Linked DNA regions of Drosophila melanogaster. The protein of the gene in region 4 purifies or fractionates together with the protein of the main gene of each other region. This does not show direct contact. Each region holds a gene or a part of one and is shown on either strand. Other genes may lie near its edges.

Region 1 (7,028 bases), on a different chromosome or scaffold from region 4:
AATAGCATATCTATTTCTATAACTCGGTTTTTGTTTCACTACTTAAGATGTATTTGGCTAGAGTCAGATCGTGGCTAGAGTCAATTTCCAGACTATCCTTGGCATCGATTTCCACAACGGAGCACCTATTGTTTTGCAGTAGCCCACTGTCCACCAGTTTCCTCCTCGAGAAGTAAAACATTCCTGTCTCTACAATATCACCCTGCCAATCTTGGCGTCTTGGCCTGGCACTCAAATCGAATTCCGCTGGCATCAATTCACCATCGACCACCTTCCATCGCAGATAATGTGATCTGAAATAGATCATAGATTTTTAAACATCTACATTTTTCTTAGAGCATAGTGTACCTCTTAGCGGCAAAAACACAGTCATGGGACTCAAACTTTCGAACAGCCTCTTGAATATACTTGGTTTTCAGGAATACAGATGTGCATTGGAATAGAGCAAAGTCATGAATACTTCTATGAACATCTAGGAACTCCGAAATGGCATGAAGTGAAGGAGTGTCGTCTCTGGCGAATTTCTCAGGCCGATGATGTATTATGGCACCATCTAAAGTGCTCAAGAGTTTAAAAGATATATTCACTATAATAATATTTAATGCTCACACTTTTGTGCCTCAATGGCAATTCGTTTGTCATCTGTGGAAACCCAAATATGTCGAAAGCAAGTCGAATTTTTGATGGTCATAATTGTGCGGGCCAAAAGCGATGAGCCACCAATTTCAGCCAGGTTTTTCAGCTTGATGCCTTTGCTGCCTCCCCTGGCCAAAATTAATGCATGAATATCGTTGCTCAGACTGAAATAAAATCCAATAAATAAAAGTACTCATAAATCTGCACTACACTAACCAATTTTCCGTGCACCCGGTTTCGAAAAGAAAAACTAGTAAAATAAGAAAAGTGGCCGGTTTCAGTTTTATCATTGCGCTGTGCTTCTGGTTGAGGTCGAAATTTAAATAAAAAGAAAAATCGTGGCGCCCATATAAGATATATGTATTAGGGTGAGCCAGTAAGTATAACATAAGTACACAAAATATTGAAAAAACAGAATATATTTAAAGTATTTTTCATGATCGTGATCCTTTTCTATTTTGAGTTCTTTTGTGATTTAATAATATAATTTAATTTAGTTTGCGATTAGTTCACTCTAAAATGTACTTGTACTAATTCAAACGCACACAATAGCCTAATTTACCCTATTGTGTGTTATTAGAGGGGTTGCACTTGTGATTTATGCAAATAGACACTTTATGGGGACTTTGGACTACTCTGATTTTCCTTACTCGTTCATGGAGGGCAGTACTCACCAGTCAGTCCACCAAAGTGGGTTTTAACGTTTCGTTCATCTTGTTTTAAATTATAATAAAAAATGGATTTCTCATGCGCTTGACTATGAAGTTAAAGTTTTTAAATGCCCATGGGGATTTCTTTAAGCACTAGTTTTTGAATACCTCATACCTGCCGTCATATTTGAATAGGAAAAACATCAATGTTTATTTAGTTTTATTTATTGCACAGTTTTTATTTTAAGCTTTACAATATAAATAGGTTTGTTTTATTTACTCACTTTGCTAAAAATGAAGTAAATAACCTTAAAAATACCATGTATTGAGAGGTAAGTTGTGTTAATATATATGAATAAGTACATATGGCAATATATTAACAGAAATTACGCATGTAAGAAAAAATATACAATATTCGTTTTCTTGAAAGGTCTCCACTCCATAAGGCAGATTCAGGATACAGAGTTTTGAGATGCGCAGATATGCAAACGCTTACTGACTGACTATACACATATGTACGTATGGATCTTTTGACAATGGGTGGTTACCCTTTATATAACTACGAGTGCTCATCCGTTCGTCCGACGGTTCTATTGGTACATTTAGGTGCGCTTACTAAAGGACACTGGCATACCTTTGGTTGATATATGCCTTGGTGTGGTAATTATAAGTTCTTATCGAGGCCGCCAGTGTTTGAATTAGTTGTTTGTCCCTCTTTGCCGGTGCATACGAATCAATGTCACTGCCACTGAGGTGGATAACAAATATTAACAACTACTATATTTACACAAACCGGATTAGCTACTCCACCTGATATTCCGTGTGCGCAGGACACGTTCCGCCCACGTCTGTGGTCTTGGTATTTCCCGGGCCACTCCAGTTTGTTTTTTGTCGATATAGTCAATTACATCATCGTAATAGTTGGTTCTGTAGTTGTACATGTATTTGTATTGCAGAAACTTCGGCCTGAAAAGTGCAGATTGCATAAGATACAGTACGGTACAGTGCTGTACAGTACAGTGGAGGACCAACCTGACCCAGTGGCGGTAGAGCTGCACCGGTTTCCTGTAACCATCGTCTTCTGGCGGAGGCGGCGGTGCTTTGATTTCTTCTACCTCTTCCGGAGCAGCCTCCTCGTTGGCCGGAGTGCCAGCCACGACGCTATCAGCCTTGTGATCGGATGCCACACTCGGTGCTTTTGAGGGTGGGGCCGGAGTGCCCGCCTGGGTGGATGCCGCCTTCTCCTCCTCGCCGCCGTCGTCGAAACCCCATGGATCTTCTTCGTCTGCCATATTACTGAAACGGAATCCTTTCAATATTATTATATATCTATCATAGACAGATTCACTTTCAATATTCGATCTCTAGGTAACGTAAGCCATCATCATATTATTATATCACAATAAGATACTTTAACAAATTCACTGTCTTCTTATTTTTTATAAACGTTGGCCTTTTAACGTTGCATAACATTGCAACACAACCTAAATTTCAATTTTGTTCTTAAAACAACCTTTTTCGCAGTTGATCGGAAATGTTTGGAATTCAGGACGCCCAAATAGCTGGCGTTCTTAGACCTTTCGAATTCAGGACGATTTAAATGGTTCAATGCATTATAATCTACATATAATGAGTTACATCATTCATCGATTGAATTGTATAGATTCATCTCTTAAACCACTCATATCACTGTTATCTTTCCAAAGGACTTTTTATCATAGACTTATTAATAGACGTTCAAGGGATTCACATTGATTTTCTAGCAGCTAAAACTAGGACATTGGGTCCACTGAAAAATTAGGGACCGTACCTTTACTATAGTGTTTATACTGATATAAAGGAAAAAAGACTAAATGATCGAACTGCTGCTCGAAACAAATGCACTTAGAAAACTTAATCTAAATATATCGAGAAGCAACATCTATATACAAAGGTTGGCATGCGTACTCACATACTAAATTTAATTGGCCGAAACGCTATTAACACCTATGTACTAAATAGTTTCACATTTCAGCATCAAAAGTTCCGGAACAATGAAAAAGTTAGTAAGCAGATTCAAATTTAAGTAGTCAAATAAATCTTTTAAGCTCAATTTGATCGATTTCAACAATTTGCTCATTTATACGGACTTAATTTTAAATAGTTACAACACTTGTTAACTTTTTCCAGAATAAGCCTAAAGATTATGAATCCTAGTTGATAAATGTTCACATAAGAAATCCGCACCGTAATTGTTAAATTTGTTATTTTAAAATTTTTTTGGTTTCATCATGAATCCAATAAGAATTTTAATTATTTAAAAAGGAACCGTTACTCTATCACGGGAACGACGAAAGTGGAACACTTCATAAATTTATTTATATAGGTTATATCTACGATCTAACTAATACTCTAACCGTATTGGTATTCTTGCTTAAATACATGCTTATAATTTTCTTAAAAGCCCCGAAATTAATTTAAAAACAATTTTGTTTAAACGGCGTGAAAACAATCGCCCTAACTTATCGATACATCAAAAGCGAAAACCAGCAGCACACATCGATAAGGCGCTCGTATATATATCGCCTCGATTTAAGCCACCCCTAAATTTGTTGTATTGATTGTGTTTTGGTCGAATAAGTTTATTGCATTTGCGAAAAGTGATTTTGTTTAGCCTAGCGGGTAGCAGAAATGTGCCTAAAATCAATGTGTCATTTTCGTTCAGGTAATAACCGCACCCACCTCCCGCCGAGGCGGCGAAAATCCCGTGTGAATCGAGCTACATACACACTTTAGCCCATTTTGCGTGCATATACACTGCATGTGCGTACATATGTACATACGCACCTGCGTACATATGTACATATGTAAATATCAAAAATAACAATTTAGGGCGAATTTGTGTGGAGAATAAAAATCAAGCAAGCAAATCGTTTTCCTAGGACATTGTACGTTGGGGCCAAGTGGACCATGTGACAAAGCCATGCCCACTCGCACACACGCAAGCACATATGGACACAAACAACAAACTACTTTATTTAAATCGAGCGGTTCGAGCAGTGCGAGCCGGTTATATTAATGCATTTTAATTCGCATTCGAATTCTCGCTCCAAAAAAAAAAAAAAAAACAGTGCCAATTTATGTAAGCGAGAACCCGAGGTCCACTGGGAGTTAAACGTGTGTAGCAAGTTGTGTAGCAAGCCATCGCCAAAGAAACCCCCGCTCGAAACGCATACACTTGGTTTGGTATACGATGTGGAATATTGGTGTCCAAGTGCCAGCCTTTCCCTGCTGACCACCCTCCCCCACCCCCTGCTGGAGCCCACTGGAGCCCCTTACCCGATTTGGTGTGAATATTATGTGCAAAATAAAAAGGCCGTAACACCGAACGAACGCTGGGGAGGAAGGGCAGGAAAAAAAACTGTAGGCGCGGGCCGTGCTTTCCCCACGTGACACGCAGGCGTATGCGTGTGCCAAAAATTCCATTTATTCGGCGTATATTCATCGCGAAAGGCGATTTCAAACTGCATTGACACTCGCACTCGCGTTTCTGGCCCAAAGTATACCAGCCATCTAGTGAAACAAGCGCTGATTGTGACCCACAATCCCAAAATAGCCTTGTTCCCAACATCTTACTCCAAAATACGTGTTCAAAATGGGGTTTTGGGTTTCTCCAGGAACCGAACTAATTGCCTCCAGATTGACCATGACCTTAGCCATTTTCAAAACTCAACTACCTTCCGTTTGGCACGAATTTGGCTCATGGCAGAGCTTTAATTTCAATTTTTTCGTTGCTGCTATTTTGAAATTTTAAATTGAGGGAGTTTCTTTATATTCTTTCGAAAAAAAAGATTCAGCAATATCGAAGAGAATCGCATATTCCATTATAATATTTTCTTACAATCCGATGGCGATTTTGTAGTAACAAGCTCTTTTTATATTTTCAGCATATTAGCCTCAGTAGGTAAATAATGCTTTGACTTGGTCGACGGAAATCAAACTGATGTAAGTAAAGGAATCACATAAAATGTACAATTAAATAAATACCAATAATATTTGTGCCTAGCTTAATTATAGCCTTAAATGCATGACTAACCCAATACTTAAGCAGCCAATTAAACAAATATGACTTGTAATAAATATCTTCCAAATGTGTGTGTAAACCTTTAAAGTAATCAATCATACTAATTGATCATGTTTAATACCGATTCGGATTTTATAAAACGAAGAATATAATATACCCTTGCAGATGATTTTATTTTTATTTGGTAAAAGCAACTAACTCCACTTATTGATGGAGCACATATTTTCCTACTCCTCTTGGTGCAAAATATAAAAGAATATTTAAACAAACGGAACCAAGTCTATTTTAATTTATCGTCTATATCGCTCTCCAAATCGAAGTAATTGTTTCGTCACTGTGCGAAACTAAAACATTGTTCATCGTTTGCACTTTCCATTGATCTTTGCTATCTCCAGAATGGCATTTCGCTTTTTCTGATGGGATCGCAGTTTGTGTGGACGGTTCGTTTTGGCGGTGAGGTAACCGCTCTTCGTGGGAATTGACTGATACAGCCTTTTAATTTGCAGCTCTGCATCGCTTTTTGTACATTTTCTAAACAATAATACTCCATAACACTTAGGGGTGACTTAAAAATGTTAAATTTTGCCTGAAATCTTTTAGAGTTCTTGTATACTTAACTCAAAATAATGAGCGAACAGCTAGCAATAAGCTATTTTGCAATAAACTGAAACTGGCTTTTACATTGAGAAATAACCTTTGGGAGAACTTATGTGACGCTCATTTTAATGTTCATTATGTTTCTTACCCAAATTATTTTACCCTTTAGCATATAGCATTTTCAAATATAAATAACGTGAGTGTAGGTGAACGTGGCAACCCTGTTCCCCTTTCAAAAAAGTCCTACCGTGTACAGAAAATATGGTTAACCAATAATCGTCATGTATAGAGACAATTTCCGCGCATGCGCCTCAACCATTTGATTAGTCCTTCGGTACACATCAGGTTTGAAATATACAAGTTAATAGTCAAGTACATTTTTGCTTATTATTATCAAGAAAAATTTATAAATGAGTCGCTCGTTCAATTTCAATTTCAATTTGTTCGTGCCACAATTCATACATATCGTTAACGTAATGCTATACAAGCACATTTATTGATTTGGAGTTTTTCTGTCCAGAAAATAAACATTAAGTCAAATGTACTGGCCAGGCAAAGCAATTTAAACAAAGAAAAACACTAAATAGAAACAAATTAGCTCCTAAAAAGTTAAAAACAGTGAAAACATGGGGTGCTTAAGTAGTAAAGACCGTTTAACCAAAGAGGACATGGAGTTCTTAAAAACGCATACGAGATATGACGAAGCCACAATTAAAGAGTGGTATAAGGGATTTAAGGTGAGTACAAATATTACCACACCAACGCAAAAGTCTCAAATTATGTCCGTTCGTCCTCCCTTTTCTATATAGCAAGATTGCCCCAACGGCCGATTGACGCCAGCTAAGTTTGTCGATATGTATAAAATGTTCTTTCCATCCGGAAATGCGGAAGAGTTTTGTGACCATGTTTTTCGTACATTCGATATGGACAAAAATGGATATATTGACTTTAAGGTAATTCTCTCTAATTACACCTTTTCTCTCGATACTATATTCGGTTGACTTTGGACACGTTAGAATAATGTTATTATTCCAATCATATCGTAGGTCCTTCAATTAAGACTGTTGATTCTAGAGACTTTC
Region 2 (8,351 bases), on a different chromosome or scaffold from region 4:
TGCTGGTAGATTCCATTTCGTTGATATTGACTTAGGCTCGAACAGCCCCAAATCATCTTCGTAATATTTGTGACATTAGATCGATTGAAAGTGTATATGACCAGACTTCTTTGGGCAATGCTATAACGTCCTTGAAGGGGCAGAAATACGTCCCAGTAGAGGCCATTCAACTCGGAGCTCGTTCCTGGTAAGACATACTGATGCCAATAACCTTTATTGCGACCCTGTAGCTTCCCGGAGAGATCGCCCACGGGATACTGCTCCTGGGTTCCATAACCGGGTGGGGGTATATTCTCGTTTATCTCCCGGGGATTATGCATGTCCCCAGTGGTCAGGCAGTAGTCCTCGTGACCCATCCTCGAAGGCACCGGCGGCAGACTGTGAATCCGAAAGGCGGCCACATCTTCGGCGAACTTGCGACTGACATGCTGGGAAAGCGGTGCTCCCAAGGTGAAATTGAGGAAAGTTGGGTCGAACTTGGAGCGCTGCATGAAGGTAACCTCTCCCTTGACACCACCAGAGTTGATGAAAGTTCTGCGGTTAACAAAAAAAAAATGGTTATACTTTCAAATAGAATGGGTTGTAAAAACCACTCACTTATGTGTCAAAGGTTGGACATGGCGAATCTTGGTGCACGCGAGGTACGAATCTGGATGTTGGTTGTCAAAAAGAACCAGGTAAAGAGTTCTATGGGGAATGGTAAGATCCGAGGGCAGCAGGGCCAACTGAGCATCCCTAAAAACGCTGCGTTGTGGCGAACGAAGGGCATTCTTGGCCACTCCAATCCTGCCTAGGCGTGCGTCCAGATCACCTATTCCCTTGCCAGCTCCACTTCCTTGGGGATCGAAAACTTGCTGCAGGAAGTTGCAGTTGTCCTCCGTGCGATGGTGGTCATGTTTGAAAATGTCCGTCACATAGATCTTCCAGTGGTGCTGGGTGAACGGTCCAGCTTGACTTCTATCTTCCTCCAGAGCAGCTGGTTGCGCCCTAATATGGTAAAGATCCGAGTAGATTAGAGTATCTCCAACAGCTCCCTCCGCCGGGGCCAGCCAGCGGAAATGGACAGATCCAGCGACAGGAGTATTAAAACGAGCCTCTGCCATGTGCTCCACGGAACTCTGGATGGTGGTGATGGTGGCACAGATCCGTGCATTAGCGTTGACCTCTGTCAGAACCAGGGACTTCCCCCAGATTCCCCGATCCCCAATCAACTGCATGTTTCGCTCCCAGCTGGAGGTCTCATTTCCGGGCAGTACCAGGTACTCCAAGTCCTCGTCAAAGGACAGGACCTGGGAGCCCAAACGACTCAGTTCGCAGCGTTCGTCTGGGTCAATATTGGAGTAGTCCACGGGGAAGCGACGTACTCCCCAACTCCATACTTGGTCGGGGTACTGCAAAGTGGCCTCCAGGTTGGCCTTGATCTCCACCGTGGTGGCATTCATTTGCCGAAAAGTGATCTCTCCATGAAGACCTCTTTGCGAGATATAAGCGATCAGATGCTGTGCATCAGCTGAGAGGCACAAAAACGATAGTGAGAGTGGAGTGTTCATTAGTAAGGTGAGATATCTCATAGGCGCAGAGAGAGAAATATGAATGAATAATATAATTATATGCATAAAATATAGTGTTGGAAATAAAAGGTTAGTTTACTTTCGAAGCAAAGTATACAGCATAGGATAAGGGCTTAGTTCGCCCCAAATGTATATCACTTTTCTTGCAGTGCACTCGAGAGTGTGGTGAGATATTCCAGACTCAAACTGAGATACTTTCGATTTCTTTGGCCACGCAATATCTGCATACAATGCAATCGATTCCCAGCACTCACCTCCACTCATTAGTGATGCAATCCAGCAGATGGAAGCCATCCACAAAAGCTGTCGTCCACCTGGAGCCATGGTTCTGGTTCTACTTACGCCCTGAGTAACCAGATTATTCGAAAAGCGCTGTTCGGAATGGATGTGGCAATGACAAGCGTGGCTGACTTTCACATCGTAGTGCGCATGCGTGCGCCTCGAAACTCGACTGACAACTGGTCGCTCGAAGGTTCGTGTTCGGTTTTGGCCATCGTCTTGGCCAAGTGTGGGGAGTTTCCCACTGCGCTCCACAGCTTCGTTCAGCTCCCCAGCTTTATCGGTGGTTTTGTTTTGACCTGGAACTGGTTTCCGGCACGGCTCAGCTGAGTCAGATATGCAGTAAGGTACTACATACCCCCAAAAAACCCCTTCCCTGAGCAAATCAAACTTCAATGGCTTTGTGTTTTTTTTTCAAGACGACTCTCTTTTGCTTTATTCCAAGACTTCGTCATCGTATCATCATCTAGTTATGTTGTATAAAAACAGTTACTTGTTTTCTATTTTTAGATGTTTTTTGTTTTACTCTTGTTAATATTCCTGACCGGGTTAAAAGTTTTCTGAATTTTTTCATCTTGCCGTGTGTAGCTTAAAATATACTGAAGTAAAGATTCGATTTGCATTTAACAACTTGTTGCATGTTGCACTTTGAAATGGATTGCAGTGTGCGTGTGAGTGTGGTGTGTGCTCGTGTCGAGTGTCAAGTGTTGAGTTCTGAGTAATAGTAGTATTAGATAAATAAGGCAATATATTGTGCTTCCTCCGATCAGCCTAGGTACTAGTGGTTATGGGCACCTTATTCAAACTAAAACCCCCCCGACCGTCTATTTCCCGGGGAGGCGTATCATCCTGGAAGCTTCAAAACGCATTAACTAGAAACACTGGGTTTGTTATTTGAATGTTTCTTCATATTTCAGATATCATTTTGGGTTGTTTGTTCGTTTGGGTGGTTTATATCGCTGATAGTTCATAAGCAGAAAGTTGTGGTGGTGGCGATGGTTAAGTTATATAAATTCGCATTAAACAATTTGAGTGAATGAACTTAATGTTTCTCTGTTATTAGCCTAACTCTCGATAACTTGCAATAATATTGATAACTCATAACTGATAAATAAGTAAGTAACGAACGATAGATATGTATAACGATAAATATTTTGTGATAGTAGGATATATATTTGGCTCTCAGTTAAATGATCCCTAACAATAGTTTGTTATGGGTTTACCTCTCTCTCTCCTGGTCCTGCGAGATTTCTTGAACGAAAAACATTGTAACTCACAAAACTGGCTAAAATTCATATTCATAATCAAATTGAACTCGCGGGTGCAGGGCTAACGAATACAGCCCGGCTACCCATCAACATCGTCTTCGTCCTCCCTACATCATAAATCATACATCATACATCCTCATTTCGATTCCGATCTCGATCTCGATCTGGTAATCATCTCTCTCTGGGGGTTCTTCTCTTTAGTTCTTCAACGGACAGCGATATAAAAATAGACACGGCTTGTTTGTTGTTTTTAAGTTTTTTTTGTTGATTTTATAGGTGTTTTAAATAAAATAGATAGCATATGTTTTATAAATTTTACGTGTAAAATTTAACAGTAAATCAACTAGAAAACTACGCGTCAGTTCTTGCCGTGACAGTGAACGTGATCGTAAGTATCCCTAACTATGATGGACAGATACATGGTAAATGGTTCTGATCGCTACCAAATGTTGCTGAAGAAGTTCTTTTGAGGTTCAGTTTGATCGGATGTTGCTGATCTGGTTGGTGGTGTTGTTCTTGGTACAAGGTACTTGGTGATGGTTAACAAAAGAGATTACAAGATACTGAGAATCTACATATGTAAACGAGCGTTTCTTTTAATTACGTTTATTATTACTGATTTGACTGATTGATTTAACGTTCTGATTCTGGCTGTAAAATGGATGTTGAGTTAGAAGTTAGGATGTGATCGGATGTGCCTTAGGCGGCCTCCTCCTCCTCCTCTTCACCCTTGCCGGTGAGCATCTCGATCAGGGCGGCGGTATCGATCTGGTTCTTGTCGTCGATCACCATCTGATCGTAGGCATCATCAACCTCCTTCATGGTGAACTTGTCACCGAAGTTCATGAGCATTTCGCGGAATTTGTCACCGTCGATGAGACCATCGTTATCGAATGTTTTGAAGGCAGCAATAACAACTTCGTCTTCATCGTTGGCACCGGAGGTGGCCATGCGGTTGGCGAACAGGGTCAGCAACTGGGTGAAGTTGATCGGACCCGAGGCCTCGCCCAGCATGGCGTCCAACTCCTTGTCGTTGGCGATCTTGCCGACGGAGTCGAAGGCAGCGCGCAGATCGTTCTTGCCAATAATACCGTCCTTGTCGGCATCCATGAGTTGGAAGGCCTATCGATCCCGCACAGAGACAGAGAGAGATAGAAAGAAAGAGTGTGTTGGTGACTTGGTCCTTGACAAGTGCGATAGATGGTAGGATGACAGGATGATGGGATGGGTCTCGAGTGATCCGACATATGATGCGATATATGAGTAACGCCCAAAACTCACCTCCTTGAACTCGGCGATCTGCTTCTGGGAGAACACAGAGAAGACCGAGGAGCCAGCGCGCTTCGACTTCCTGGAGCCACGGGATCCGCCCGACGCTCTCTTCGAACCAGTGGCAGATGCGGCCGGGGCAGGAGTGGCAGCTGGTGCCGGGGTTGCTGCCTCGGATGCGGCCTCAGAAGCGGTTTCGGAAGTACCACCCTCTTCCTTGGTCTTCTTCTTCTTAACCTTCTTCTTCTCATCGGCCTGAGGAGAGAAAAGAGGGATTTATTAGTAGGGACTCGTGGCAGAAAGGGGGTATCTACTCGGTCATTAGTCGTTATAGTCCGTCTTTAGCTGTCACTTGAAAGTTCCGATTCCGGAAGTTATACTATTCGTTTTAGGGATCTTAGTAAGTTATCCGCGTTGAAGGATCTTCAATTGGAATTATATGGGTAGAAAGTTATCCCTTAATAGGGATTTAAGGGATGTAAGGTATGCTTTTCAAAAGGCCTACCCGACTAGGCCAGAAAATATGTATCTGCAGGCGAAAGTTTTCCACTCATTCTAAAAATATACCGGACGCATATTACGTAAGCTCTCCGCCGTGCGCCACTCGCTGTCTCGCTCGCTCCCCGGCACGGATATCAGATTACATTACTGACGCGTAACACTCGGATCGGATCGATCCATTTATAGAACTTTCTGCACTATTCTCACTGCGTATGTGAAGAAGGTGAATCGGGATCACCATGATTTAGAGTTATGGTTCACTTCATATTCATATCCTCGGGGTCATTCTCGAATGCAAACGATTCACTGCACTGATCGGCATTATCCTTGCTGCATATATCCAGGCACTGGGGTCCAGTTCGATTCGGTTCGGTTCAGTTCGGTTCAGTTGGATTGTAGTGATATTCCGGGACGAGTCCTTACCATGGTGCTGAACTTTGATGTGTTGTCTAATCGAGTCGAGCCGTCAGAGCACACTGAATCTCTGGCTGATTTTATCGCCAAGACAATGATGTTTTAAGAGCTCGGAGGAGCTCTTCTTCTTCCAAGCATTGGGGCCGCTCGTGGAGGTTCGGCCACCTTCGGGGATCTTCGGGCGCCATTCGCTGTATCCGTATCTGCAATATTCGTGCTGCCTTTTTTAGTATCTGCAAGGCGAGGTCCGCCCAGGAGATCGGCGGGGGCGGGCAGCTACAACTATATAGATATAGCCATGGCTATAGCCTATAGCCTATGGTGTAGCTGTATCCGAGGTGTTTACTCATCCATCGGGCGCTGCTCTAATCAAAAATCTAATTTTAAAGGCAGAGAAATTGCTTTGGCTTTGGCTTTTGGGCAGCAGAAGCCTATACATATGTTCGGAATTTATTTCGGGGCGATTCGGATTGGTTCATATAGCGGCTCTCTGTTGTGGATACATTTCCCCATCCTCGGATTCTGTTTTGTTTTCTTTTATTTTGCTCTGCTTCACTACTCGGTGCGTCTCTCTGCCAGAGGCCACCTCCGAAAGGTGTCCTCTTGCGCTGAAATCACCTACATTTTCCTTGGCGGCGGACAGCATACATATATGCCAACATATAGCATATGTATGTATTCTATTCACGCCTATATACTCGATGTTTTGCTCGCCTACGTTCCTTTTTCTGTTTTCGAAATGCCCCGCACATTGTGCAATATGAAGAGCGCCGAGAATTCCAAATCTATAGATCTGTATATACATACACGGCGATCGGGCGGATTTCGTGTCGCATAAATATCCAACGAACCCGATATTGGACCAGAGTTATTTCGGCAACAAATGTGGAATAAACATCTGACTTTATCTATATGCTAGTCATCCATGGACATTGCATAACAATGGGAAGGCTGTAGGATTTCCATTTCAGATAAACTTTGGGTACCACGTCATGATACATTAACCTTGTTACTAAAAATATTAAACACTGCAGTATTCAAGCTATTTAAGCCATTTCAGTAAATAAATAGTAAAATTGTGACAACTTCAATCGACAAATTGGATTCTCAAAGCCTTATTTACACATTTTTAGTTTTCCAAATAAGCAGGAAATTTCAATTTAGTTTCAAGTGTTACAAAATATTATTATTCATATAGTTTACATCTATTTTTTTTAGAAATATTCATTCTGCAAATTATTCGACTTTTTGCTTTCTGAAGGAAATAAGCCAAAACATTTTTCAAAACAATATTTACATGAGGTCATCTTTGCCACCTGAATTCATTACCCTCGCTGGCTAATATTATAATTAATGAAGGCTCTATGCAAATTTATGAAACGGAAAATATCTCAATTAACGATGGGATCCGTGCGAGAAAGCCTTCATAATTCATCGATCAGACATAATGAAAATCGATTTAGGCTGCAGTCATCTTCGTGCTCCATTGAAAGTGATTTTCGGCGAAAACTCTCATGGCGCAGCCATTTTGGCACGTAACCAGGCGACATTTTGGCCTGGGGCCAACCAAAACAAGAAGATATAGAGGAAAACTGCCCACAATCTAATACGCAAAGTAGCATTGAATATACGCGAATGTAAAAATAGAACAAAGTGCAAAAAACGAGCAAGACGCAGTCGAAGGAATGTTAAAACTAATGAAAACTGCGGCAAATGTATTCAATTTTCCAAGGTGCAGAATGTTTCTGGGAATATTAATGGTTTTGACACTTTGGAAGCATTGTTTATAAAGGGTTAACAATTAAATAAGGCAAATAACAGCCTACACATAACATTTGTTTATCTCAAGGGTTTCTAAATTTAAACGCCAAATCATCTTTGATTTGCTGATTTACTACGTTAGTCTGTGTGAATATACCCAGTTCCACCTGATACATGAGCGAACTTGGAGGTGCTCAGTCGTGAGGTCGGACGTCATTGGGAATCGGCTGTATTCAGTGCCCGCAACGCATTCCTATCACATCTCTGCTCCGCTCCCCTTCTTACACCTTGGCCGCCCGATGGCCGAAAATAGAAGAGCCAACGCGCACCACTGTGCTGCCCATTTCGATCTGAGGGAATAGTTTCGATTTTAGAGACGGAACTTGCTCAGTCGGTTTGTAGCTTACCGCCTTGTCGAAGTCGTTGGACATTCCCATGGAGACGAGCACCGAGTCCGGGGCCAAGGAGTGCGCCTCACATATGGATCTGTGCACCTGCATTAGGGACACGAAATCCGGATTGGGTCCATTGCTGTAGTCAAAACCAAATGCACCAATGGTCATTATGCCCATCAGGTTGAGGTGTTTAAGGTTGCTCTTGATGTACTGGTAGAGTGCAGGAGCATCTTTCGCCTCTATTCCGCTTTTAACTAGAGGTCGATTTAGGAAAGTAAGTATAAGGTCGCTAGTTTGGGGGCGTGAGACTCACCGTCTTCACCACTAGTGTTGATCTGGATGAGCACCTGCAATGGCTCCTCAGGGGTGGGCTGTCGCTTAGACCAGGCTGCGTCCAGTTTGGTGGCCAACTTCTCGCTATCTACGGTCTGGATCATATGCAGATTTGGCACAGAAAGGATCTAAATAAACAATGAGATCAATAAGATAAAGAGAGGTGCTGATAAGAGATAAACGCTGTTATCCGATCTTGGTTATCCAATTGACCTTGTTGATCTTGTTGCTTTGCATGTGGCCTATGAAGTGCCACCTGATGTCGGGGCACTTGGCCAGAATGTCCGGGTGGCGGCTCTTCTCCTCCAGCTCCTGTACATAGTTCTCACCGAAGTCTCTTTGTCCGCCCTCGTAAGCCTCGATTACGGCCTCCGCTGGCTTTGTTTTGCTTACAGCAACGAGCAGCGGCCTGGCAGCTTGAACTTCCTGTGCGAGAGATAAAGTTTTTCATTTAAGAGGTCATTAATAAGTGGGTCTTAAGTTAACTTACTTTGGGCCGCTGGAGGAGCACCTCGTCTATGCGCTTCAACACGTGCTGCAGGCCGGCTTTGACGTCGAAT
Region 3 (7,913 bases), 2.1 Mb from region 4:
TAATGGCAGAACAAATACAAGCAACTATCCTCTACAAATTGTTCCATTCAATTCGATTGTTTATATATTTTGTTGTTATTATTATTTGTGTTCTTAATTTTATGAGTGCGCCGCTGTACAGAGTTTTTCTAAACCAGATGATATGCGCTTCTTACGTTTATATAGTCGCATCTGCGCATCCACATCTAAGCAAAAAACGAAACTAAAGAAAACAAAAAATATATTGTATAAACCTATCAAGTATTTCTTTCATTAAAAAAAAAATAAATCAAATAAGCATAATTAAAACGAAAAATATGTATTGCATAATAAAGTTGTTATTAAAATGTATGATACAATTTTGGGAGTGTAAAAGAAAATATACATAAATTAGCCAAAAAATATAAAAATACCAGTGTATTCTTGTTTAACGATTGGCCAAATAGAATGTGCATTAAGAGAGCATTTCGACCCTAATAGTTTTCTACTTTCTCTCTCAGTAATACAATCTTATTGTGATGTTTCTGCGTAACGTATCGACTCTTTCTTTGTTGGATGTTTTTAGTGATGTCTACCTCCACGCAATGAACTAAGGAATTTGCAGCAACCCAGGATGATTTGTGGTCATCTTTGTGCGACTCAGATGAGTAAGGCCTATATAGATCAGCCAACAACATTTTTGACAGACGCAAAGAGTATGCTGCAGTCGAGTTTGACGACTAACAGATACCTATTGATAGAAATTGCCAGGACAATTGTTTTATAAATATGATTGGTATCTCTTATTTTTAATTTGAGTTGCCCGAGTCAAAAATCTGAAGAAGCTTTTTTTATTCTTTTTGACCTGCGAGCTACAAAAACCAGGTCCTCGCATAAAACAGATTTTATATCATTTTTTAGTTCTTTTTTTATTATTTAACTTTTTTGTGGATGTCACAATTCTCATCGGGTTTGAATTAAATATTCCACTTTTTATTTAAATTAAATAATAAATTGTCCTATTTAAACTTTATAATTAACATAATTGTAGTTCTTTAGGTCTGTACTATGTTGATTTGTAGTTGTAGTTGTTGCTGCTGCTGCATTTGCGTGCCGGACTGTGACTGAACACAATAATACAGTTTGACATCCTGCAGTGGTTGTGGGTAAGTTGATGGACAGCACCATTACTTGGTCGCCGACTTCAGGTAGGCGATCAGATCGCCGCGCTCGTTGGGCTTCTTCAGACCGGCGAAGATCATCTTGGTGCCGGGGATGTACTTCTTGGGGTTCTCCAGGTACTCGAACAGGGTGTCCTCGTTCCAGGTGATGCCCTTGGCCTTGTTGGCGTCCGTGTACGCGAATCCGGCCGCCTGTCCGGTCTTGCGACCGATCAGACCATGCAGATTGGGTCCAACCTTGTGCTTGCCACCAGCCTCAACGGTGTGGCACTGGGCGCAGCGCTGCACGAACAGCTTCTTTCCCTTCTCAACATCACCAGCAGGAACGCCCATTATGGATTATGTGGTTAATTAATGTGTTAACACGGACTCGACTGTAAAAAGAAATGTTTGTTATTAATGAGTGGTTCATAAAACAAGGGTAACCAATATATCTGTTATCTTACATCTTAGGTTTGAAAAACTTAAAAAACTGGCTACTAAATGGTTCAAAGTTCATAACTGCTACCAATTAATTTGTTCTATTCTGATAAATTGATTACAATATATATTTTATATCATTTGCTTATGTACTTAGTCCGAAATTCTGGTTTCACTGCAAAAAATAGTTATACGATATTTGATACCATTTATTATTAGCCCCAATGAACCATTGTGTAGATACTGATAAAAGCTTCACTTTCAGCCATACATTATCAAAAGATTATTGAATAAATAAACCCGAAATTTAAAATTTATTAACCAGTTGATTTCCCAACGTTACTTATATAATATTATATATTTTTAAGGTATTAAAATAATAACGTCTTTATATCATCAAAAATTTCCATGCTTGGGAAATAATGGGTTAATGTAGGTAGTTATGGACCGTGAATTAATATTTGTCCCCTTGCCCCGTTATGTAAACAATTGATAAGCTCCCTGCGGAAACGGAATTATTAAAATTGCTCATGCTAAGTGCATTAGTCGGCTGTTGTTTCTGATAAGGCCCGAAATTATTATCTAACGTAGTCTGCATTTCCATTTGCGGCCACCCCCTTTTTAACCCACATACTTTGCTCTCACTAATACGCGCGTGGAGGGCGTCGCAACGTCATCAGAAACACACTTTGAAAAAGCTTCAGACGCTGGTCACATGTTGCCCCCACACTCTTTCTCTCCTTCTCACACTCTCTTTGTGTCTCACTCGCTTATATTTGCCAGTCGCCGATTAATTGCGTCAGAACTGCTCAGCAACAGGCGGAAAACTTCCAGGAAGCATCATAATACGAAAAACGTTAGTTGTTTACATAACTATTCTATTATTCCAGGGTCTGTGTTACGGTCATCCTGCTAATTGCCGGATTATAAATTGCATGCAGCAATTTGAACTTGAGAGTGCAAAGTACCGTTGCGGTGAGTAATTCACCTACACATCACGCACATAGACTGAGAGAAATTCGATTAGCTGAAGCTCTTTCAATTCTAGAAAACTAATTTTATTTTATATGCATTTGTCTATAAAAACAAACCTAATATATATAGACTATTGATTTTGTGCGCTTTTACACATAATTTGCATTTAATATCAACCTTTTTTTCACTTCTTTCTGTGTAGAGTATCATGCACTTTGGCAGTGAGAGGTGGCAAAGCAACAACAATGTCAACATCCGATTTGGCCTTGTTGAGTATTTTTCAGTTAATTGCCGTGCGTGAGTGTGCGTGAGATGAAGGGAAAGTGCAATTGGAAAATTGGAAGCAGGCCAAAGGCAGCTGTGTTTTTCCTTGTGTGGGTGAGCAAGGTGGTGAGAACAAAGAGATGAGTGAAAATTGGGCCAACATCCAAGTTTCCTGAGAGCAGCGAATGTTACATAAGCCGCCTTTTCGCAGAGGTGAATTCTCTTTTATTTATATTATAGAAAACTGCACATCGCAGAAAGCAAAACCTGCTTAGCAACCACGTGGCGCGCTTAAAGACTCCAAAGCTGAAGCATTGACAAAAAATCCAAGAATTAATTTTTGCCACTGAGCGAGCGAGACAGCTGATGATCGGGTACGCCACTCTCTTTGCTCATGTAATCGACTCTCTCCGGGGCTTTTTTCAATGGCAATGTGACTTTGGGATGCTATTTTTACTATTAATACACCACTGCTAATATTTGCTAAATAAACTATTAAATATCTAATAAAAAATCACACTTATACACACACACACAAGGACACGTTTATGTAACCTGAATCATCCCCCAAAGAATACGTTAAATTTGCATGCGAATCATTTTCAGAACAAAACACAGCTGCTGGATGTTACGTAAATGACACGGAAGTGTTTCTAATCTTTATCTGACTTGGGGCTTGATAATCAATAACTATTCAAGGTAATATTTACGTCACTTGAAAATACAAAAATTCCACCCACTACTTACATTGAACACAAACGTCGAGCGTCGCCGATTTTTCACGAATGACGAGCGCGCGTTATGTCGATAGGTAATTAGTGTGACCAGAGTGACCGGGGGCCACGCATTAAAAAATGTCGCAAGCTTTTGTACCCGTATTTATCCACCACACGGCGTATAAGTAATTTTTTCCCCTATTAACGGGACTATATTGGAAAGCCTCTGGAAAATTTGCATTATTTAACAAGCTTCTCCAATTTATTACATTTTGCTAGTAGGACCATAAAACCAACTGTGACCAAAGCTGATTGGTACAACACTTTCCTCCACCCGCGTCGCACACAACTTGAATTAAGAAGAGGGTTTTTGGTTTATCAACTTTAATTGGCTAAAGTGAAAGTAAACCTTTTTGAAATGTATTTGAGCTCGACCATTCCCAATCAAAGTTTCGAAATCCAAGTGAAATACGTCATCTTTTGAATATGTTTGTAGTCTTTAAGCGCAGTTTTCTGGATAGCATGGTGGCCGATCTTGTTGTTTCGCAGGCGATTCTACTTGTTTGACTTGAGGAAGGCAATCAAATCGGCCCGCTCCTCAGCCTTTTTAAGACCTGCGAACACCATCTTTGTTCCGGGAATGTATTTCTTCGGGTCCTTGAGGTACTCGTCCAAATTCCCCTCTGTCCAGGTAACGCCCTTCTTTATATTGGCATCGGTATACTTGTATCCCGCTGCTGTGCCACACTTGCGACCCACGACCCCGCCAAGATTTGGGCCCACCTTGTGTTTGCCGCCCACTTCGTAGGTGTGGCACTGGGCGCACTTCTGCACAAATATCTTCTTGCCGTTCTCTGCATCACCAGAACCCATCTTGGAAGCCTGAAAGACAAATAGGGAAAAATGATATTTATGATTTAGAATTCAACTTTTTATGCAGCTTTTATTTCTATATTTTTTAATTTTTTGTTATTTGTTTTTTGTTAATTTGGATCAAATAGAAATTGGTTGATTCCGAAACTATCATGAAAAAGAAAAGTGTAGAACTAAAAATTTGATAGAAAAGAAAAACAGATTCAATTTGTTTCAGTGTCCTAAAAAACCGTTTGAAAAGTGCAAGTCCTGGACAACTGAGAGAGAGAGAGAGAGCGTTTCTCTTGGTCACTCTCTTGGCTGCACAGCGATAGACAGAGACAGCTGCTAATGCACGAAAGCAAAACAAAATTGGGTCAGAAAAATAGGAAAAACGAAAATTAAATCAAAATGGGTATTAAATGAAAAGCAAACAAGCAGCTCGAGAACTTGTCGGCACTTCTAATGGGAAAAGCAACCGAAAGGTAATTCAATTAGCAGACACATTCGGCTTGCCACCCCCTTTCCCAACCAATTCGTTGACTAGCAGATGCACATGTGCTTTGAACATTTCCTTTCAATTAAAACGCATTTTACGCACTCTCCGCTTTCGCCCCCTGCCTTCCCCTCTCTCAACCATTTTCCTGTGGCAAAAACAGATGCCACCGCATAACAAAACCAAAAAAAAAAAAAACAAAGCAGAGGGAAATGAATAACGGGAAAGAGACATGGAACCATGCCGCATACAACGGTCACACAGGGATGATATTCACCTGCAATTTAAAATTTAAAGGATCAATTGAAAATATTAACTATGTTTATCTCAACCAATTATCTTAAAATTAAATTTGTTTTAAATTTACAAGAGTGCATTATGATATTTTTCAGAGAATGATATTATTTATATATTTATATTACGTACGTATGTAAATGTCACATTCTAAATCCAAACAATGACATTTTCCTGGCAGCCCTGCACTGGTATTAGGTGTACTCCCTGTGCATCCATCTACATACATACATACATATATCCCCAATGGGACATCCTGGTTGTGACCTAACCTAATTGGCAATGGAACCATAATTTACCCGCAGGCTAAACTATCCTGCCTGTTGGCCCGAGTTCTTTTGCCGGACCACTATAAATAAATGGTGCAAGAAATTAAATTACGCTTGAACGGGCTCGGCCGAACATGGGGTAGTAGTAGGAAAGAGATAGCCTGCGGAAAGGTTGTGGGGAGGCTATATTGTTTACTAGATCTATTGCTGCGGAAGTCCATAAAAAGGTGAGAGGATGGTCCAGGACAAATAGAGTTCAAAAAGAGTGCAAAGGCACAAAGGAGTCTGCGTGCTAAAGGAGGTGCAGATATTGAATTGCCTGTAAGGTGCGGAAATTGTTATGCAAAAATAAAAAGCATATTGCGGCATCTGCTCAAATGTAATGAGGAAGGGAAAAATGTTTTATGTAGCTCCACCCGCTACTTTCGTAAAGTATGTAAGAGGGAAAAAACGGTTCCGACCCTATAGAGTATATTCTTAATTAGGATCACCAGCCGATCTGACAATGTCTGCTGTCCGTCTATTTGTCCGTATGTACGATACGCAGCTTTCTTTCAGAAGACTGCAAAGGTGTCACGCCAAAAACTATGATTTAACGTTTTTTTTTTTAAAAAGATTCTATCGATATGCCAAAAACTATAAAATCTTCCTAGCACTACCTCTAGCTGGGTGTATAGTCATGGAAATCGACTATACTGTTGTTCTCTTTCGTTTTTTTTTGTTGTAACCATGGAAAGTTCACTTAACATAATTTAATAACGGTTTCTTGGAGTACCTCAGACTTGACCAGTGAAATTATTATTATTGCCACTCCATACCCACTTCTGCGTCAATATCCTCGGTCAGCGGGTTACCAAGAACAACGCTTTGGCTGTTGCGCAATTTGGCATGACTTTGGGATTCCCGCCAGGCCACACCCCCTCGAAAGCTATACCCATAAAGAACCACCTCCCCAACCTAAAAAGCAGACATTTCTGGTTTGCCCCTGCCCTGCATGGCAGAAAACCTACATTTCTTTCTTGCTCCCCTTTCTTTTTGATTGCACAGTAATACTTATATGACATGATGTCAAATATTTAGATTAAAGAAAAGTTTTTATGAAATATTAGTGAGCTTAATATGGATATTTAAGGAAAAACACATTGTCAAAACTTTACATTAAAGATAATGGTAGCAAATACATTTAGTTAATTATAATTATATGTGCAAGCATAGTTGCTTTAGTTAAGCAAGTACCACTGTTTATGTTACAGCATGTGTTTATACTACGCGCTTTTCACTGCTGTTGCTTCTTCTTCTTTGGGGGGGGGCTTTCTTTTGAGGGGTGGTGCGTGGAGGGGCTGAAGAGATGGCTTCTTTTCTAGAACGAGGTCGCTGACTGCCCTTCAACGCTTTCAGCTTTCTGTGCTTGCGGATGCCCGAAAGTTACATAACCCCCCAACTACAACAACAACACCGCTAGTTGGTTTTGCATTTTATGCTGAGCGAGAGAGAGAGAAAGAGGTGAAAGAGTGGGGCAGAGAGACTAGAAAGAGAGCAGCTCCAACATAAATGACACGGAGAAAGCGCTGCGAGAGAGCTGCAGCGCTGCGCGTGAGAGCAATGTTGGAAATGTGTGAATGAAAAATTACTAAAAATGCTTCTTTTTGGGCATTTTATACCTGTTCTTTGCTCTGAGTGCACTGCTGACGTCTCTGCATCGTGCACAGTGGGAGAAAAGAAGGAGAATGCCAATAATTAGCTTTTTTAATATAGCTACTTATTTAGTTTAATAAACAAATATGACTATATGCTTAGTTTCATATAAAATTAAGCAATTGTAAAACTAGCTAAGTTCTTTTTTGCTGTGTAAGGGGCAGCAACAACGCAACAAGCTTACCCGACGGACAGTTCTTCTCGCTCTGCAGTTGCTTGTTGCTCGCTCTCTCGTTGGCTCCCTCTCTCAATGAGCGCTGGTTGGGGCAATGGCAATTGTGGCTGCTGCTCAGCTTGGCGTTTTCATTCAATCAGCTGAGTTCGCCGCGTTCGGTTTTCCCGCTGCCGATTCTGTTCACCGTTACACCGATCGAATATTACGCGTCTTGCGTCTGTAAAGGAACTGAAACGCACCAGTTTTTGAGTTGGAAAATATCCCCAAAACAACAAGACTCGGCGAGAACGGAAAATTTGTTTGCTGCTTGTCACCTTCGAAAGTTATGTGTTCTGGCCTTTACCACTACTGAAATTTCTAGAGCGTTTCGGTCAGGGCCTACCTAGCTGAATCCAAAAAAAGGCAAGAAAGCTACAGGGCAGCCACCAGAAAGGAGCTGCCAACTTGCATATTACGGTAAGTTGGTGGGAGCGCTACCGACACCCAGTGTTGTGTAATTCGCCACTCTTTTGTGCTGCGTGTGTCCTTGCAAAGGCTGCACGTGTCCTTGAAATGCGTCAAGTGGTTCCTGCGAGTCTCTCTTTCTCATCGTCGATTTACTCTCTCTTTCTGTTCTTT
Region 4 (8,626 bases):
TCTGTTTCTTTTTCGCCACATTGCCGCATGTCGTATAAAACGAGTCGAGATTGGTGAACTCTGCCCGAGGGGAACTAGATCAGAACATCAGAATTCAAGCTTTAGAGCAAATCACAATGTATTCTAAGACCCATTGTAACATTTATCATATATATAGTCTTATATTAATTTACACTTACATACATAGCAAATGGAAATTCAATTCTTTATATTCCACTAATTATTAGAGCATTACTCTTAAGGAACAATCAGACATCCTGCAGTTTGGTTTCAACACTCATAACCTTTGCTTAATTACTATAATACCATTGATTTCCCACTCCATTAATGAATGGCTATTAGGTTTCATAATGAGTGCATTATCAGTGTTGGCTATAAACTCCCATCAGATCAGTACTTCATTATCTCACAACGCTCATACACAGACAACAGCAGCGATCCATGCAGTTGCATAATCACTATCTTCTTTGGCTGTGGTGTGCATCCGTCAGGTTAATTAGTGAAATACCTGGTGACCAGGCACGTATTGCCATTTAAAAAGCATCAGTAATTTTTTCCTCCATTTTTCCGCAAATTTTTTTTTGTTGATTAATCTCCACCTACTGCCGGCAACCGGTCGGTCGCATGTTTTTGTTCGATCTACAGTGTTGGGGAAAATACTAGAACTAGTCGAAGCCTAGATACTCTTAGTATGAATAGTTGCATTCAATATAATTATTAGTCATTTAATATAACCTACCATTTACGAGTACACCTACAATCAAATGGACAAACAAAATTGGTCAATTACCGGCCCAGAATATTTATTATTTCGTGCAATGTATCTTGGTATCGTAATTTTCAATATTTTCCGGCATTTCCTTCAGGCGAACATACCCCAATATTTTTTGCGATTGCACTGCCTCTCCCATTTTGGCTATTGTGCCCTAGCCAATCGATTACTTCCTGCATTTTTAAATGTCCTCCCCCCCACCTCCTTGCCAACCGGCAGCTGACCAAATTAATCAAGCGTGTGCCAAAAAAAAAAAGTGGAAAAGGGGAGGAAACCAGCAAAAATTAAACGAAAAAAAGGAGTTATAAATGAAAAATGCTGGACAATTGCATGGTTCGCTTACAGTGACTAATCGATTTTTGGAATTAAGTTGCGCCATCGAAAGGAAAGCAAACTTGCAACGCCGGCGGACGGCAGGGAGTGGGAACTCTGGAAAAATGCTTTGATATGGCCTGGCCAGATTCCACTCCATGCGATTCCGTTGGTTCCATTCCGTTGCGTTGGGTCCTCAATGTCCGATGATATTGTGGCTCTTTTTGGTCTGCTGGCTATTGATTTTTTACGAACCGAGTGGCCCCCGACTAGAAGGAAGACAACGCACTCGAATTGGAAGTATGCCAAGGCGGCGTGCCCACAACTCACCCCACCATATAGCTGAGATATAGCTACACGATGAGAAAAAGCCAAGGCAAGATTGGAAGTAGAAAATGTATACTACTTAATGAATGCAACATAAAAATATTAAGAGTTTTTCAGTTTACTCGACCGTAGAAGGGCTATTGCGTTAGATTAGTACCGAAAATACCAAAACTATCCCAGCATTTATTTTTTTTTTTTCCTGGTGTATCTGTAGGCTCTCAGTGCCAATATTCCTGGGCAATGTGTCGGCAGATTTGTTTGTTTTCGCATTCGATTCTCGGTCGTCCGATTGGGTTTCCTATGGCTGACTGGGTCTGCCTGTGCGTTTGGAAATGTGCCAAAGTTCAATGCACGGCATTGCTCTAGCAAAATTTCGACATGCATTCGCATAGTTGAGATGCACTAGAGACGTTCTAGAAATGTTGCACGTAAAGTCTACGTATATTGTTGTTGAAAAAGCCTTGAGTAGTTGGACTTGACTTTGCACTTACAATTTAGATCAAAGGTTGTTAGGAGAACATATAGTCGACTGATGTCAAAAAAAAAACAGTATAGTTCACATTCCCACAACATGCATAACGTAACCCCATCATAATTAAGCACATCTAATTATAGCTCCCATCAACATTCGCTCGCCCAAAAATATATGGAAAGGCTTAATGTACACCCCAACAGCCTAGCAAGGAAGCTAGGAACTGCAGCTGTGGTCAATGCTGACCCTCGGACTAGAGTCAAAAGAAGACTCAAGCGACACCACCCTCATGACCTCCCTAACCTGGTTTTGACCTAGAAAGTCTTAGTTTTAAAATTCATTAGAATACTATGTTATATCAACTATTATAATTCTCCCTATCATTTTTAGGATTAAAAATCTGTTAGTCTTAAGTAACCAAGACACATAGTAAAATAAAATAATTTAAGCAGATCAAATTAAGTTGCCGCATGGGTAACAGTGCGTTGATCAAATAATAAAAACATCATCAAAAAAAAAAAAAAAAAAAAAAAAAAAAAAAAAAAAAATATCTATTATCATAGGAAAATGAATTGCCTACTTTTTGCGTAAAGCATTATTTTATTTGATTCGAATTCAATCTTGATCCTCTTCATCATTGCTCTGCATATAGTGCACGAACTGGTCGGCCATGTGCCAGTACCAATGCAATTTGACCAACTCGAGTCCACCCTTATCCGCAATCCATATCTGACCATTCTCCGATCTCTCGATGGCATTGACAATATTCTGACCACAAACCGATGTCGATTGGCAGGGCGCTCGCCGCAGGCGATCGGCAAAGGATTGTCCGTATTCCAAAAACGCTTTCAGTTCCCGGTCCACAAAGACCCTTGTAGGACCACAACAAACCGCCATCACAGCTACCCCGTTTTGGGAATAGTAAAGAGGGTCCTGAAACCAAAAAATTATGAATTTATCCGCATAAGATCGTATTCAACTCACCGCTAGACTTCTGGTAAATCCAATTACACCGAATTTGGATGCACTATATGCGCAGAAAACCGGCGAAGGGTCCAATCCAATGACCGAAGTGACGTTCACAATTAGCCCACCAGTTCCTCCCATTTTTCTGTCCATATAGGGTAACACTGTGGCCACAGTGTTCATCATTCCCGTTAGATTTGTATTGATGGTGGCATCAATGTTATTTTCATCGCACAGCGTAGCACCATTGATCAGGACATCGATGTAGTCCATTTGGACCATCACCTCATCGAAGTACTTCTTCATATCTTCCCTTGCCATGGTCACGTCGTAGGTCCAGAAAAATATTTGGGTACTCGGCTTTATCGACTGCAACTGAGCGATGGCCTGGGGATTTTCCGTACTCTGTAAAATGGCCAGTTTCTAGAGTAGAGAGAGTAAAACTGTAAGAAATTGTTTGGCTTTTAGTAGATAGTAACTTCCCCGTCTCCCTGAATTTCCTGATAAAGAATACAAATATTTACACAATATATTGCTTATCTGGCGATTAAAATAGACTTCATAGGTGGTTTAATATCGAAATATAAAAAGTATAAACGACAAAATGCTTATCATTAAAAAAAAAGATGAACACCAAGCTATTAGAATGAGTTTTGATTTTGTTCTAAAGTATTGATTGAAAGTGGCAAGTCCTTCAGCGAAATCTAAGCCGAACTGAAACATAAACTTAATTGTTGCTCAGCGCGAAACTAACATGAAAAACTCATTAACTTAATTAGTTTCGACAGCGACTGGCTGGACTAGTTTTGAGTTCGATCTGGACAGAAACCGAGCTTCCCGCTCACTGACCGCTATATTCTTGGTCATGAGAACCTTGCTGGTCTCCAGTGCAATTCCTCCGCAATCCGCCACATAGCAGACATGCTTGCCCGTCAAATCGAACATTCTTTCTATCCGCTTTCCACGACTTCTGTTTTACGACTGATTGGCGGAGGAACTTGGCCATGCTCCGCCATTCCTGCCGCTCCCATTTATCTATTTTAATTAAGTAGAGCGTTTATCAGTTTTTTGGATTTCTCAATTTTCATATATTTTTCCATATTTTTCATGGAAAGTTTTATTATCGTATTAGGAGAAGAATGTGAGTGTGCATCGAATCAGCCTTATTGCCTTGCGTGAATATCTTCTGGTTCGCAGAACCCTATGAACTAATGTTATGTTTTTTTTTTTTTTTGGGAGTATCACTTCTTAGATGCCGGAGTCCCAGTGCTTGGTCCACTGGATGGCCTCCAGGGTGCCCAAGTCCAGTTTCCAGATGGCTCCGTTCTGGTTCAGCTCGATAGCCTTGACGAAGTTCTCGGCGCAGGCCAACGAGGGCTGGGTGGGATGAGCCAGGAGCTTCTCGGCAACCTGAGGCTCAACATCCAACCAGGAGTTGAACGTGTGCACCAGGGTGGTGCGGGTGATGCCGGGGTTCACAGTGTAAGCCGTCACGCCGGTAATGGGGGCCAGTTTCTAAAGGTGTTATAAATCAAATTAGTTTTGTTTTTTCTTGAAAACTTTGCGTTTCCTTTGATCAACTTACCGCCAGGGAGCTGGTGAAGTTGACCACGGCGGCCTTGGTGCCGGAGTAGACGGGCACCTGGTAGATGGCATTGAATCCAGTGACGGATCCAATGTTGCAGATGATACCACCGGGACCGCCCTTGCGCTTGTCCCAGAAGTCCAGAATGGCCGTCGTGGTGTTGACCAGGCCAGTGTAGTTGACGGCAATGGTGCGCTCGATCTGGTGATCGTCCAGGATACCAGCTCCGTTGATCAGGACATCGACGGTCTTCAGCTGGGCGAAGATGGTCTTCAGCAGCTTGGTGGTCTCGGCAATGGGCACGGTCACATCATAGGGGTAGAAGGTGACGGTCACCTTTGGATTGATTGCCTTCAGCTCGGCAATGGCAGCCGGGTTCTCAATGCGGTCGAGGATCACCAGGTTCTAGGATTGAATACACGAGATTAACCTCCATCGCTGCATGGAGCCTGTGGGCATCGCATAGTTACCTTCAGATCGCGCTTGAGCAGCTCCTTGCTGGTGTCCAGACCAATGCCTCCCAGACCGGCAACGAAAATCACGTTCTTGTTGGTCAAAGTAAACGACATGGTGACTTCTTTTTTGCTTTAGCAGGCTCTTTCGATCTGTTTCAATTGGAAGAGGGCTCCGTTAGTTGTTGGTTTCCAGTTCGTGTCGGCCCCGTATTTATAGGAAGATCCGTACAGCAGAAGCTTCGGTTACGTAGAGCTTTTCATTATCTACCGTTACGCGATCTCGGCTATGTACGCAGGCTGCTCAGCCGGCGACGGCAGCGCTGCCTAGTTTATGGTTTATTTTTATTTTTCGGCACACACGGTTTGTTTTTGTTTGGGATTTTGTACCGGCAAAGCTTTTTCTATATTAGTATTCTTATATTAGTATTAGTATTAGTATTAGTATATTATATGCCTGATGCTTGGAAAATTACTGCTCGTCTGCACGCGCTCGCTTTTGAGATAGCTAACGAAGGCACGGCGCCGATTAACAGGGACGAGTTATGTTAAAATTCCTATTTTTAGAAGTTAACTAACAGGTGATTTTCCAAGAGGAATATGCGGAACAGGCCTCCAAATTTTAATTCGATGCCAATTAATTGAGTTCGCACTACTTGTGACAGCTTGAATTAGTTCTGATTGAATAAATTTGATTATATATGATTTTACAAAATATTTACTATTTAATACTGTCATTTTATTTCCGCACTTGCATAATAAATTCAATTAAACAAGAATTTCCTTCAATTGTGTGCCCTTTTGCTACTTACTTGATCAATTAAGTAAATTTGAAGAGATGCAAGTACTCGTTAGCCCGTCTGCTGAACTGCAACTGACAACTGCACTGAGACAATAATGCATGACTTGGACCTTCGCAGCTCCTTAAATACTGTTCTCTCGTGGGGGCGAGTGCAGTCGACGTCGACGGATGCAGCAGCAGCGGCGTTCAAATAATGTGTAATATGTAAAATGCAATAAAAATGCGCAAGCAAGTGATCTGCAAACAAATGCGGGGTAAAGTGCCCAATAGAAAATGGAACACCAGAAAGTGCACTGAGAAACAAATAAGTGAAAACGTAAAAACATAAAATGAATGAAAATATTCCAAAATCGAAAAAGAGTCAATCTTATTTACAAAATTTGTATTTTTCTCTCGTAGTAATTTTTTAACCGATTTTAAAAAAACACCGGTTTTCTAACAATAATATAACATAAACTTAAAACACATTTGTTAAAAGCATATGGACTAAAAAAAATATCTTATTCCGTGTACCGTTATTTCTATAGTAATTTCTTACAGTGTAGGGCCACGAGCCAGAATATTAAGAGCTTTGACCTTGTGAATGTCAAGCATAGCAAGGAGAAGTGTAGAAAGATCGTGTTGTTGCTGCGGTCGCAATTGAACTTCGGCTTAATTTGCATACGTGTAATACTGTGACTGGGAGCCAACGGGACTGGATGGTGATGGGAATGGTGATGGGAGGGGTGGCTGCTGGAGGCAGCGTAGAATCAATCTAGAAAAGTTGGAAAGCAAGCACAACACGCCCCCTAAAAGCAGCTCATTAGCAATCTCACTTGTCCGCAACAGCGACCAAGCCCACTTTGTGGCCGAGCCAGAGTAGCGGTTTCGAATGCAGCTAGATTTAACCCATGCTCGCACACAAGATTAATACATGTACATATTATTTAATTATATTAATTAAATCGGCAATACTATAATGCTTTAAAATTTGTTTGCCAATTTCGTAGATTTTATATATATTTGTTTATTTATTTATTCAAAATATATGAGTATATGTGTTTGGTAAGAATAAAATTGTATATGTTTACTCCACTTAATTACTTAAAAACTAATTGACTAAAAATCAATTTGGTTCAAATATTTTCTTGAGCAAATTTTGAATATAGGGCGTTAAATATGATGTGGGAGGAGGCTACTGCAAATTCATATGTATTTTTTGCATACAAATGATGAGAAGGAAAGAGATAAGCATGCGGAAGAAATAAGCTTTCAATTTGCATAAAACTTAAACCTGTTTGTTGATATAGAACTATATGTGTGTGTGCACACAAGTTCTATCACCTAATTGGAAAATACATTTGCTAAAGTATAAACATGTATTTCGGGTCATATATGGCCCAGTTCTCCCGAAGCTTTGAGGACGCTTAGGAATTCATAAAAGTTAAATCTTTTTTTCATATATTCTTATTAAATATTTTTGATAATCTTTGGGGGTCGCATCGAGCGTTATCACTAATCCATATATGGTCACTTGGGGAATGCATGATTGGAAATTTTCGGGCTCCGATTAAATTTTCAGCTCAACAATTTCCCAGAGTCAATAACTCATTTTCCAAATTGACCCACTAATCGAACGGGTTGCTCTCCTGCCTTGGCAACTGACCGCGAAGTAATATAAAAAAAAATCGTATGATTTTCGCGCCTCCAGACGTTAATTTAATATGGTCTGGCCTAGTCTGGGGCTACAGTTTTCCTTATCAGCAGACGTGCCTAACATCTTCTTACTGCTTGGGGCAAACGAAATCGTTTTTATTAGGTACACTGAACAAAATGAAATGCATGCAAATAAAATGAATTGTGTAAATAAGAAAATAAAATCAAATTTGTTTATCTTATTTCGTGCATGCGTCAAAGGAATTTATTTTTAGATTTATCTGTATTTTCTATAGTGGCAAAAGCTTTTGGTGATAACATTTCCCAAATTAATGTTTTGTTTTGGTGATAATTTATATTAGTTAATAGAGTATTTAAAAGAAAAACACATTAAGGTGAAAACATTTTAACTTGCAAGTGTATTTCCTTTACACATCAATTATCTTTAACAATATTTGGTCTTGATATATATTTTTATCAGTGTACACCGTGCAGTGGACAGTGTGCGCCTTATCGGCTTGGCCCCCAAGTCATGCCGCCGGTGACATTCAACCTCTGGGGGGGTAATGACGCCAGCGGCGTACCTGCCAAAACCGATTTACACCAGCTCCCGCACCAACGCACGCCCATGTCCATATGTAGGTACACACTCGCCAGCATTGAGATGTCGTTTCCCGGGCTGATTAAGTCGGTGGCGGTGGCGGTGGCATTGTCTTCCCGCTGCGAGTGTGTCTGCCTAGTGAAACGAAACTGGGGCTTCTAAACGCCGGGGTCTAAGCAGCTTACCTCTAGTGTTTGGGAGCGGAAAAGCGGGAAAACGGGTGGTGAAAGGAAGGGTTACCAGGGGCAAGGGGGAACCCTACTAGCGCACGTTCCATTTATTTGGGGCGCGGCTTGCATTGCATCTCGATGCAAACATAATCTAATTTACTATTCCACTGCCTGACCCATTTGACCCATTTGCCAATCTCTCGACAGCGAAAAGGAGGAAATCAACCTGGTTTGACGTAATTGAGTGCAGAGAATCTTTCCCGCGATCTGATCAGGTTTCCTACACGCTTGACTTTGCTTTTGGGGTTTGGGAAACCGCAAGACGGCTAACTCATCCTATAGCAATTATATATTTAGTATAAATGCAGTTAATTTTGTTTCGAATTCAACGAGTTATTGCAGATATTTGTTTGTTGCTTCTGATTGCCCAAAAACTATATTGTTACCTCTCACCTCGTTAGTTCCACTCTCCACTCTATAGATTTGATTCCATATTTATGAATTCAATCGCAAAATAGCCAACGCAAAAAAA

Evidence for each region.
Region 1: the proteins of Adh (region 4) and fln purify together in Drosophila melanogaster (affinity purification with mass spectrometry, with the first as the bait; one large-scale study listed by BioGRID). This does not show direct contact.
Region 2: the proteins of Adh (region 4) and Mlc2 purify together in Drosophila melanogaster (affinity purification with mass spectrometry, with the first as the bait; one large-scale study listed by BioGRID). This does not show direct contact.
Region 3: the proteins of Adh (region 4) and Cyt-c-p purify together in Drosophila melanogaster (affinity purification with mass spectrometry, with the first as the bait; one large-scale study listed by BioGRID). This does not show direct contact.

What each region holds. Positions count from the first base shown.
Region 1 is NT_037436.4:19,988,053-19,995,080, forward strand, and holds fln (flightin), read right to left. Parts: upstream 3,169-7,028; 5' UTR 3,097-3,168; intron 3,072-3,096; exon of another isoform or gene 2,800-3,071; intron 2,688-2,799; exon of another isoform or gene 2,583-2,687; 5' UTR 2,579-2,582; coding exon 2,319-2,578; exon of another isoform or gene 2,253-2,318; coding exon 2,097-2,252; exon of another isoform or gene 2,035-2,096; coding exon 1,902-2,034; 3' UTR 1,499-1,901; downstream 1-1,498. Other genes in the region: Csas (CMP-sialic acid synthase), read right to left, coding at 17-293, 349-553, 610-800, 853-926; CG7646 (uncharacterized protein), read left to right, coding at 6,573-6,683, 6,756-6,899. UniProt on the Drosophila melanogaster protein: Possibly involved in the regulation of flight muscles contraction, possibly by modulating actin-myosin interaction.
Region 2 is NT_033777.3:30,169,173-30,177,523, forward strand, and holds Mlc2 (myosin light chain 2), read right to left. Parts: upstream 5,380-8,351; 5' UTR 5,315-5,379; coding exon 5,312-5,314; intron 4,643-5,311; coding exon 4,400-4,642; intron 4,241-4,399; coding exon 3,818-4,240; 3' UTR 2,266-3,817; downstream 1-2,265. Other genes in the region: Rsod (uncharacterized protein), read right to left, coding at 1-534, 598-1,510, 1,826-1,895; CG1983 (uncharacterized protein), read right to left, coding at 7,345-7,413, 7,471-7,712, 7,772-7,919, 8,005-8,217, 8,282-8,351.
Region 3 is NT_033779.5:16,715,609-16,723,521, reverse strand, and holds Cyt-c-p (cytochrome c proximal), read right to left. Parts: upstream 3,591-7,913; 5' UTR 3,546-3,590; intron 1,514-3,545; 5' UTR 1,473-1,513; coding exon 1,146-1,472; 3' UTR 878-1,145; downstream 1-877. Other genes in the region: Cyt-c-d (cytochrome c distal), read right to left, coding at 4,070-4,387. UniProt on the Drosophila melanogaster protein: Electron carrier protein. The oxidized form of the cytochrome c heme group can accept an electron from the heme group of the cytochrome c1 subunit of cytochrome reductase.
Region 4 is NT_033779.5:14,612,716-14,621,341, reverse strand, and holds Adh (alcohol dehydrogenase), read right to left. Parts: upstream 5,791-8,626; 5' UTR 5,699-5,790; intron 5,214-5,698; exon of another isoform or gene 5,040-5,213; 5' UTR 5,004-5,039; coding exon 4,905-5,003; intron 4,840-4,904; coding exon 4,435-4,839; intron 4,365-4,434; coding exon 4,098-4,364; 3' UTR 3,795-4,097; coding exon of another isoform or gene 3,699-3,794; intron 3,273-3,698; coding exon of another isoform or gene 2,868-3,272; intron 2,817-2,867; coding exon of another isoform or gene 2,499-2,816; 3' UTR 2,440-2,498; downstream 1-2,439. Other genes in the region: Adhr (Adh-related), read right to left, coding at 2,499-2,816, 2,868-3,272, 3,699-3,794.